Callithrix jacchus: one gene and its partner. The protein of the gene in region 1 purifies or fractionates together with the protein of each later gene. This does not show direct contact. Links are inferred from orthologs where the notes say so. Each region holds a gene or a part of one and is shown in the gene's direction. Other genes may lie near its edges.

Region 1 (3,562 bases):
CAACATGACAATTCCTAACAAAATGGTTTTTTTCTACAAGCAAAACATGTAGATATTTTGCAGGTGGCTTCATCTTTCCTCTTTGTACCCTCCTCTCACTTCTCTACCTTTCTCTTCTTTTTTCCCCTTTGTTTCCAACAGGCCTTACATTCGAAGCTTCAGGCTCTGGGCAAAATTGAGTCAGAAAGTCTTTTAAGTGTGACCACGCAGCTTGTGAAGGAAAAACTCTCCACCTGTGAAGCAGAGGACATCGCCACCTATGAGCAGCAACTGCAGCGGTGGCATCTAGACCGTGTACACTTGATCCAGAGAGAGCAAGAACAGAGGGAGAAAGCAAAACAGGAGTTCCAGGCTCGGAAAGCAGCAAAGGCATCTGCCTAAGAGGGTCCCCCAGGGCCCAACCCCTCCCACAGAACTTCACTCGACCCCATGCCAGGACTCAGCAGTGGCCTGCACAGCAGCCTCAGCTTCCTCTACCCACCTTCTCCTTTTCTTAAAGCAGGCTATGTGCTCTACATGGCAAGGCACCATGACTCCCCACTGAGATGCCAAGAAGGGTACTGTGGAATGAGGCAGGTGGCTCGTGGTCAGACTGAAGTCACCGACCAAATACTTTTAGGAGGGCTCTTGAGGTTCATGATGGAGTTCCTGGGGCACAGGGATTAGTTTTGAGCATTAAAGTTCCTAAGACCCAGTGAAGGTACTGGGAGAAACCAAGGCTAAAGAGTCAGGTCTAAAGCACAGGCTTTTGTTTTTGGGGTTTTTGTTTTTTGAGACGGAGTCTTGCTCTGTCACTCAGGCTAGAGTGCCGTGGTGCAATCTCGGCTTACTGCAGCCTTCGACTCCCGGGTTAAAGCAATTCTCCTGCCTCAGCCTCCTGAGTAGGTGGGATTACAGGTGTGTGCCACCACAGCCAGCTAATTTTTTTATTTTTAGCAGAGATGGAGTTTCACCATGGTCTCAAACTCCTGACCTCAAGTGATCTGCCTGCCTCGGCCTCCCAAAGTGCTGGGATTACAAGCGTGAGCCACTGTACCCAGCCAAACACAGGCTGTTGAATAGTCTCCCTCTCCCCAGCCCAGGCACATGAGGCCAAGGTGAACTGTGCATCCTGAGACCTTGTGTCCCTGGAGTCTTCTTTCTGCCACATCTCGCCCTTCTGGACCTGCACTGGGGAAATTCAGGACAGGAGTGAACTCAAGGCCATGAACCAAGTGGATTTCAATTTTTAGGCCCCCACAGGGACATTTTTAGGATGTAAGAGTTTGAGCAGAGAGTCGGCTCTAGCATGAAGCCTTTTTAGCTTGCCTTTGCCATCGTGTTGGGGTAACTTTTTTTTCCCAACTTATTTTTTCCAAAACATTGTCTCAACTCCTTTATCAACTAGGTAAAAATGAGCCTTTTGTGTACACACAGGCACATGTGCACACATACAGCTTGTGAACACACATTTCTGTTAAAGAAGTTAGAAAGTGAGAGATGGAACTTGAAGTGCATAGAAGGTATGAATATTGTAAAACTGTCAGGAGACGGAAAATGCCTTTTTGAGGTTTCTTCTGTGAAAGGGTTCAGGGCAGATTTTGCTTACTGCGTAGCGTTGCTTTTAGGTATAGTGGTATAATTTTATTCAAGATTGTGCCCTTTGATGAAAAACCTCTGGAAATAAATGTTCTGGGATTATGTTGGTGGATTCTTTATCTTTAGGGGAAGGGAGGAAGGAGAGAGGGACTCATCAGTATTGTTACTAAGATTTTGAGGAGTATGTTTTCAACCCTCCTCCATTAGACTGTGGGATTTATTATAATAATGGTAGCTACCACCACTAATATTTATTAAGGTCTTAACTGTAGGCCAAAAACCCAAGCAGCCCTATGAGGGAGGTAGCAGTGTCCCTATTTTATATAACTAAGCAACTCTCCTGCTGCTCATCTCACTGCCTGTGGCCTCTGTGTAGAGCTGCAGTCAGGAGCCAACACAGGGCCCTTTAGGCAGCAAAGCTGCAGAGTCTTAGGCAGAGGGCTGTGACCAAAAGTCAGTACCGACGTTTTGGTTTACCAACGGGGGCTTTTTCAGCCACTCCCTCATGACATTCAAGACAAATCAAAAGGCAACTTTTGCTCAGTAATGACTGTCACAACATGAAATATCTGGTTAAGGCTTTGGCTCATCATTTTGCCTTCATTTTTCCTCCCCCTCCAGCCCCAACGTTTACTCCCAGACTTTACCAAAAGAGACCTCTTCTGCACTGTACTGTGGTCACACAGGAATTCCCATGTTTCCTGCTCCTTAGGATTCCTTCCACACTTGTGCCCCATTTCTGAGGACTCTTAGAGTCTTTCCCCTCCAAATCTTCTGCCCTTTCCCCGTGTCCTTATCTCCTGAGCTATAGGATATTATCTCACCTTTCTTCACAACTAGCACTTCCCAATACAGTTGTCCTTTGTCCCCTTCCCTCACGTCATCTTCCATATTCTTCCATGCGGCCTCTGCAGCTGACCTGCTGTAGTCACAGGCAAACCTCCAGCCTCATGTCATGAATCCAAGATCTTAGACCCTGAAGTCCCCACTCTCTCGATCTTGTCTCGTACCATGACTGCTGCTGAACCAGCTTGCCCTGTAACTTCCTTCCTGTTAACCCTTTACCCTATCCCTCCAACTCTTGATCTCCAGAATTTGCTTCTCCCAGTGTAGGCCCCATGGTCAGTCACTCCCCTGATGTTCTCATTAGCAGCTTCATTTTCTCTCACTCCCTTTATCCACGCTCACTTATCAGCCTTGGACCTACACCCTTGCACCCATCTGCTACAGGTAGAACTGTGTTTCCTAAAAAAGGTAAATTGTATCCCTAATCCCCAGTCCCTTAGAATCTGACCTTAGTTGGAAATAAGTTCTTTTATTGAGGTAATCAAATTTAAAATGAGATCATCAGGGTCAGTCTGATTTAACTTGGTGGTTTTTTTTTTTTAAAAGGGAAGTTTGCACACACAGACACAGAGGGAAGGAAGATGAGCCTGTGACTCTACAGGCCAAGGTATGCCAAGGCTTGCCAGCAAACACCGGAAGTTAGAAGTGGTAAGGACGATTCTCCCCTAGAGCCGTCAGAGAAGGCTTGGTCCTGCAGACACCATCATTTCTGAGTTCTTGCCTTCAGAACTGTTATTTTAAGCCAAACTTTTTTGGTAGTTTGCTATCTCGGCCCTAGGAAACTGATAACACCACCATTCATTTTCTGTTTGATTCTGACTTACTAAGTGTTGATATATAAAGTCATAATATTTGGCTGATTAGATTCTTCTACAGAATTAAGGCTGTTCTCTTCAACTCAGTAGTCCTTCCTTTAATTGACTTTTATTTTTACTTCCATAGCTTTTATATTCTACATTAGCTTGAAGCCCTGCCCTCAGAACTACAAGCAGATGTTCTCTCCATCATCCTTCCTACTTTCAAATAATAGGTATCCCCACCTCCTTTCCAAGACTCTTCATTTGTGACCTTAGCCCATACCTGCCCACCTGTTCTACACCCTTGTAGCATCTCTGTTGATTTCTTCTTCTAAGTCTAC
Region 2 (4,500 bases), on another chromosome or scaffold:
TTCACCTACCCTCATCCGCGTCGTACATACTGCCAAAAGATTCCCGAGTTCCTAACTCTAGAAACCGAAAAGACAAAAGAGCGCACAGAAGCCACCAGCGTCTGGAGCTATAGACGAATTAACTTCCGTCTCCAGCGTTCCCAGAATACTATGCGTCTCACACGAAGGCCGCCCACAAGGACGCCAAAGTTAGGATCTGCGCCTGCGCAAAGTGTAGGGCGCGCTGGGGCGGGCATTAGAGTTGCCTACGCGCAAATTGTGTGCCGCCGCTGTTGGTGGCTGATTGAAAAGACAGCTCTCGCAATCTGCGGTCGGATCCGTCCCGTGAATGTTTTATTTCTGCTTGTTTTTTAATGTTGTTGCACAAATAACGACAGCTGAAAACAAAACCAAGTATAGTTATTAATAAAAAGTGTTCGTTCTGTGAATCCGCGACATTGGGATGTTAAATTTATTTGCCTTTTTAAGGACCAAAACAACACGAAGCTATGTTTTATTTTTATTTATTTAATTTTTGAAACGGAGTCTCGTTCTGTTGCCCAGACTGGAGTGCAGTGGAGTGATCTTCGCTCACTGCAACTTCTGCCTCCCAGGTTCAAGCGATTCTCCTGTCTCTGCCTCCCAGGTAGCTGGGATTACAGGCGCGCGCCACCATGCCCAGCTAATTTTTGTATTTTTAGTAGAGACGGGGCTTTCACCATGTTGGCCGGGCTGGTCTCGAACTGCTGACCTGAGGTGATCCACCCGCCTCGGCCTCTCCAAGTGCTGACAGACGTGAGCCACGCGCCCGGCCGGAAGCTCGTTTTTAAATGTGATTTATTAAGGGCTGCTTGTGATAGCAGTGAGGCGTTAAAGATGGTGGAAAGTGAAAAACCGGCCGGGCGCGGTGGCTCACGCCTATAATCCCTGCACTTTGGGAGGCCGAGGCGGGTGGATCACGAGGTCAAGAGATCGAGACCATCCTGGTCAACAAGGTGAAACCCTGTCTCTACTAAAAATACAAAAATTAGCTGGGCATGGTGGTGCGCACCTGTAGTCCCAGCTACTCGGGAGGCTGAGGCAATAGAATTGCTTGAACCCAGACGGCAGACGTTGCGGTGAGCCGAGATCGTGCCATTGCACTCCAGTCTGGGTAACAACAGCGAAACTCCGTCTCAAAAAAAAAAGAAAGTGAAAAACCCAAAGCACACGCAGATCTCTTCCGCCCACCTAGCTTAACCCTCCGGTGCCTTTGCGGCAGCTTTAACTAGGTTCTCAGTCTCAGCGCTTTAATCGCGAGAACACACGGGATTAGACAGGAGAAGAACCAAGACACCTCCCAAGTACCCACGCGCTTTAGTCTCGGGTCTCGCGCGCCTCGGGGCCTAGTGAGCGCGCGAGCTTGTGGCTCCGCCCCTTCGCCTGGAGCTACTTCCTCATGCTGCCTGCGCGCCTAACGTTCAGGCTCTTGAGCCCTTTCCTGCGTGGATCCGTTCCCACGGCCGCGCTCCATGGCCTCCCGGAGCCGTTCCTGGGGAGGAGGTGCCCTGCCGCCTCCTCCTTCCGGAGCTCATCGAGCCTGGGACGCGAGATTCCTCATGACCCGGTGAACACGAAGGACTTCGAAGAAAGTGCTGACATGCAGGAGCATTTTCTCTTCCCAGAGTACCTCCTCGAGCCGGAGCCGGAACCTACCCCCAAAGAGCAGCTGCGGGAGCTCCAGCAGCAGCAGGAGGAGGAGGAACAACAGAGGCAGCAGCGGCAAGAGGAGCGGCGACAGCAAAACCTACGGGCCAGGTACCGGGAGCCCCGGGTCCTGGGGCACCCGGACCCGGCAGTGCAGCCCAGCGGCGTGAACTGCTCGGGCTGCGGGGCAGAGCTGCACTGCCAGGACCCCGGCATGCCCGGCTACCTGCCTCACGAGAAGTTTCTCCGCGCGGCGGAGGCAGGCGGCGGGCTGACGCGGACCGTGTGTCAGCGCTGCTGGCTGCTAGTGCACCACCGGCGCGCTCTGCACCTGCAGGTGAGCCGTGGCCAGTACCTGGAGCTGGTGAGCGCGGCTCTGCGGCGGCCGGGGCCCTCCCTAGTGCTCTACATGGTGGACCTGCTCGACCTGCCCGACGCCCTGCTGCCGGACTTGCCCGCGCTGGTGGGATCCAAGCAGCTGATCGTGCTGGGAAACAAAGTGGACCTCCTGCCCCAGGATACTACTGGCTACAGGAACAGGCTGCGGGAGCGACTCTGGGACGACTGTGCCCGCGCTGGACTGCTGCTGGCCCCTGGCCACCGAGGGCCACAGGACCGGGAGAATTCGAATCCGTCAGACTGGTCCCGCACTGTGGTCAGGGACGTGCGGCTGATCAGCGCCAAGACCGGCTATGGAGTGGAAGAGTTGATCTCTGCCCTTCAGAGCTCCTGGCGATACCGTGGGGACGTCTACTTGGTGGGCGCCACCAACGCTGGCAAATCCACTCTCTTTAACACACTCCTGGAGTCCGATTACTGCACCGCCAAGGGCGCCGAGGCCATCGACAGGGCCACCATCTCCCCTTGGCCAGGTGAGTCTTAGGAGGCTCGCCCTCTTCGTTTTCTGACAAGGTGGACGTCTGGTCCTGGCGGAGGCACCGAGTACATCCTCCCTTAATGTCCACTACGCTGCCTGAACCCTTCCCTTTACAAATTCCCTCCCCACTCTGGTCACACCTCTCTTCTGTGTCAGCTTATTGCTAGGAAAAATTGAGGATGTGTTGTAGTAATTTTCTAACGGAAGTGATTATGGAGCACTTCTCTGTTCCCAGTCACTAGGCGCTGGAGATACACCAGGGAACAAAGCAAGGAAATGGAAAGTTCCTGTTCGGGAGATTTGCTTTGTAACTACTTTGTATGTTGTTCTAGAAAGTGTGTGTTCTTTTTACTTTCTGAACCTCTCTCCACCCCTCAATCTTACTGTTCACATGTTGGGTTTATTCTTATGAAACCAGTGTACTATACACATACAACATGTGAGTAATTCGTTAATGACATTTGTGATTTTGGTTTTTGAGACGGAGTCTCTGTCGCCCAGGCTGGAGTGCAGTGGCGTGATCTCAGCTCACTGCAACCTCCACCTCCTGGGTTCAAGTGATTCTCCTGCCTCAGCCTCCCAAGTAGCTAGGATTACAGGCATGCACCACCACACCCGGCTAATTTTTGTATTTTTAGTAGAGACAGGGTTTCACCATGTTGGTCAGGCCGGTCTTAAACTCCCAACCTCGTGATTACCCCCCCACCTCGGCCTCCCAAAGTGTTGGAATTACAGGTGTGAGCCACCACACCCAGCCTAATTTTCGTATTTTTAGTAGAAATGGGGTTTCGCCACATTGCCCAGGCTGATCTAGAACTCCTGACCTCAGGTGATCTGCCTGCCTTGGCCTCCCAAAGTGCTGGAATTACAGGCAGGCACCACCATGCCCAGCTAATTTTTGTATCTTTAGTAGAGACCGGGTTTCACCATGTTGGCTAGGTGGGTGTCCAACTCCTAACCTCAAGTGATTTGCCCACCTTGTCCTCCCAAAGTACTAGGATTACGGGTGTGAGCCATGACATCCAGCCCATTAGTGCAATTTGATGTGTGGCTTCCCCAGGCTCAGTGTCTCAGATCTGTAATTCTAGTACCTTGGGAGGCCAAGGCAGGCAGATTGCTTGAGCTCAGGAGTTCAAGACCAGCCTGGGCAACGTGGTAAAACCCTGTCTCTACTAAAAATGCAAAAATTAGCCAGGCTTCGTGACGCATGCCTGTAGTTCCAGCTACTCAGGAAGCTGAGATAGGAGAATCACCTAAGCCCAGAAAGTCAAGGCGGCAGTAAGCCCTAATTGGGCCACCTCACTCCAGTCCTGCCTTGACAACAGAGTGAGACCCCAGAAAACGGAAGTATCAGCCTTGTGACTTTAAGAAACTTCTGTGGCCAGGTGCAGTGACTCACACCTGTAATCCCAGCACTTTGGGAGGCCGAGGTGGTCAGATCACCTGAGGTCAGGAGTTCAAGACCAGCTTAGCCAACATGGCGAAATCCTTGTCTCTACTAAAAATACAAAAATTTACCAGGTGTGATAGTTGGTGCCTGTAATCCCAGCTACTCAGGAGGCTGAGACTGGAGAATCACTTGAACCTGGGAGGCTGAGCCGAGATCGCACCATTGCACTCCAGCCTGGGAAACAACAAGACTGTCTCAAAAACAAGAAAGAAAGAAAGAAAGAGAAAATTCTGTAATCTGTAATTGGAAAACGAGTCCTTCTATGGTTTAAATTTTTTGTTTTTGTTTTTGTTTTTTGAGACCGAGTCTCACTCTTGTCGCCCAGGCTGGAGTGCAGTGGCGTGATCTCTGCTCATGGCAACTCCCACCTCGCAGGTTCAAGCCATTCTCCCCAAGTAGCTGGGACTACAAGGGCACACCACCACACCTGGCTAGTTTTTTGTATTTTTAGTAGAGACAGGGTTTCACCATGCTAGCGAGGATGGTCTTGAACTCCTGACCTCAATTA

The links.
Region 2: the proteins of MRPS27 (region 1) and NOA1 purify together in Homo sapiens (co-immunoprecipitation; 3 studies listed by BioGRID and IntAct, counting the BioPlex papers as one, with this or other methods). This does not show direct contact. The link is inferred for Callithrix jacchus from reciprocal best matches to the Homo sapiens genes MRPS27 and NOA1.

Annotation. Positions count from the first base shown.
Region 1 is NC_133503.1:138,936,966-138,940,527, forward strand, and holds part of MRPS27 (small ribosomal subunit protein mS27), read left to right. Parts: intron 1-141; coding exon 142-381; 3' UTR 382-3,562. UniProt on the Homo sapiens protein: RNA-binding component of the mitochondrial small ribosomal subunit (mt-SSU) that plays a role in mitochondrial protein synthesis. Stimulates mitochondrial mRNA translation of subunit components of the mitochondrial electron transport chain.
Region 2 is NC_133504.1:139,818,770-139,823,269, forward strand, and holds the start of NOA1 (nitric oxide-associated protein 1), read left to right. Parts: upstream 1-1,391; 5' UTR 1,392-1,417; coding exon 1,418-2,537; intron 2,538-4,500. Other genes in the region: POLR2B (DNA-directed RNA polymerase II subunit RPB2), read right to left, coding at 10-28. UniProt on the Homo sapiens protein: Involved in regulation of mitochondrial protein translation and respiration. Plays a role in mitochondria-mediated cell death. May act as a scaffolding protein or stabilizer of respiratory chain supercomplexes. Binds GTP.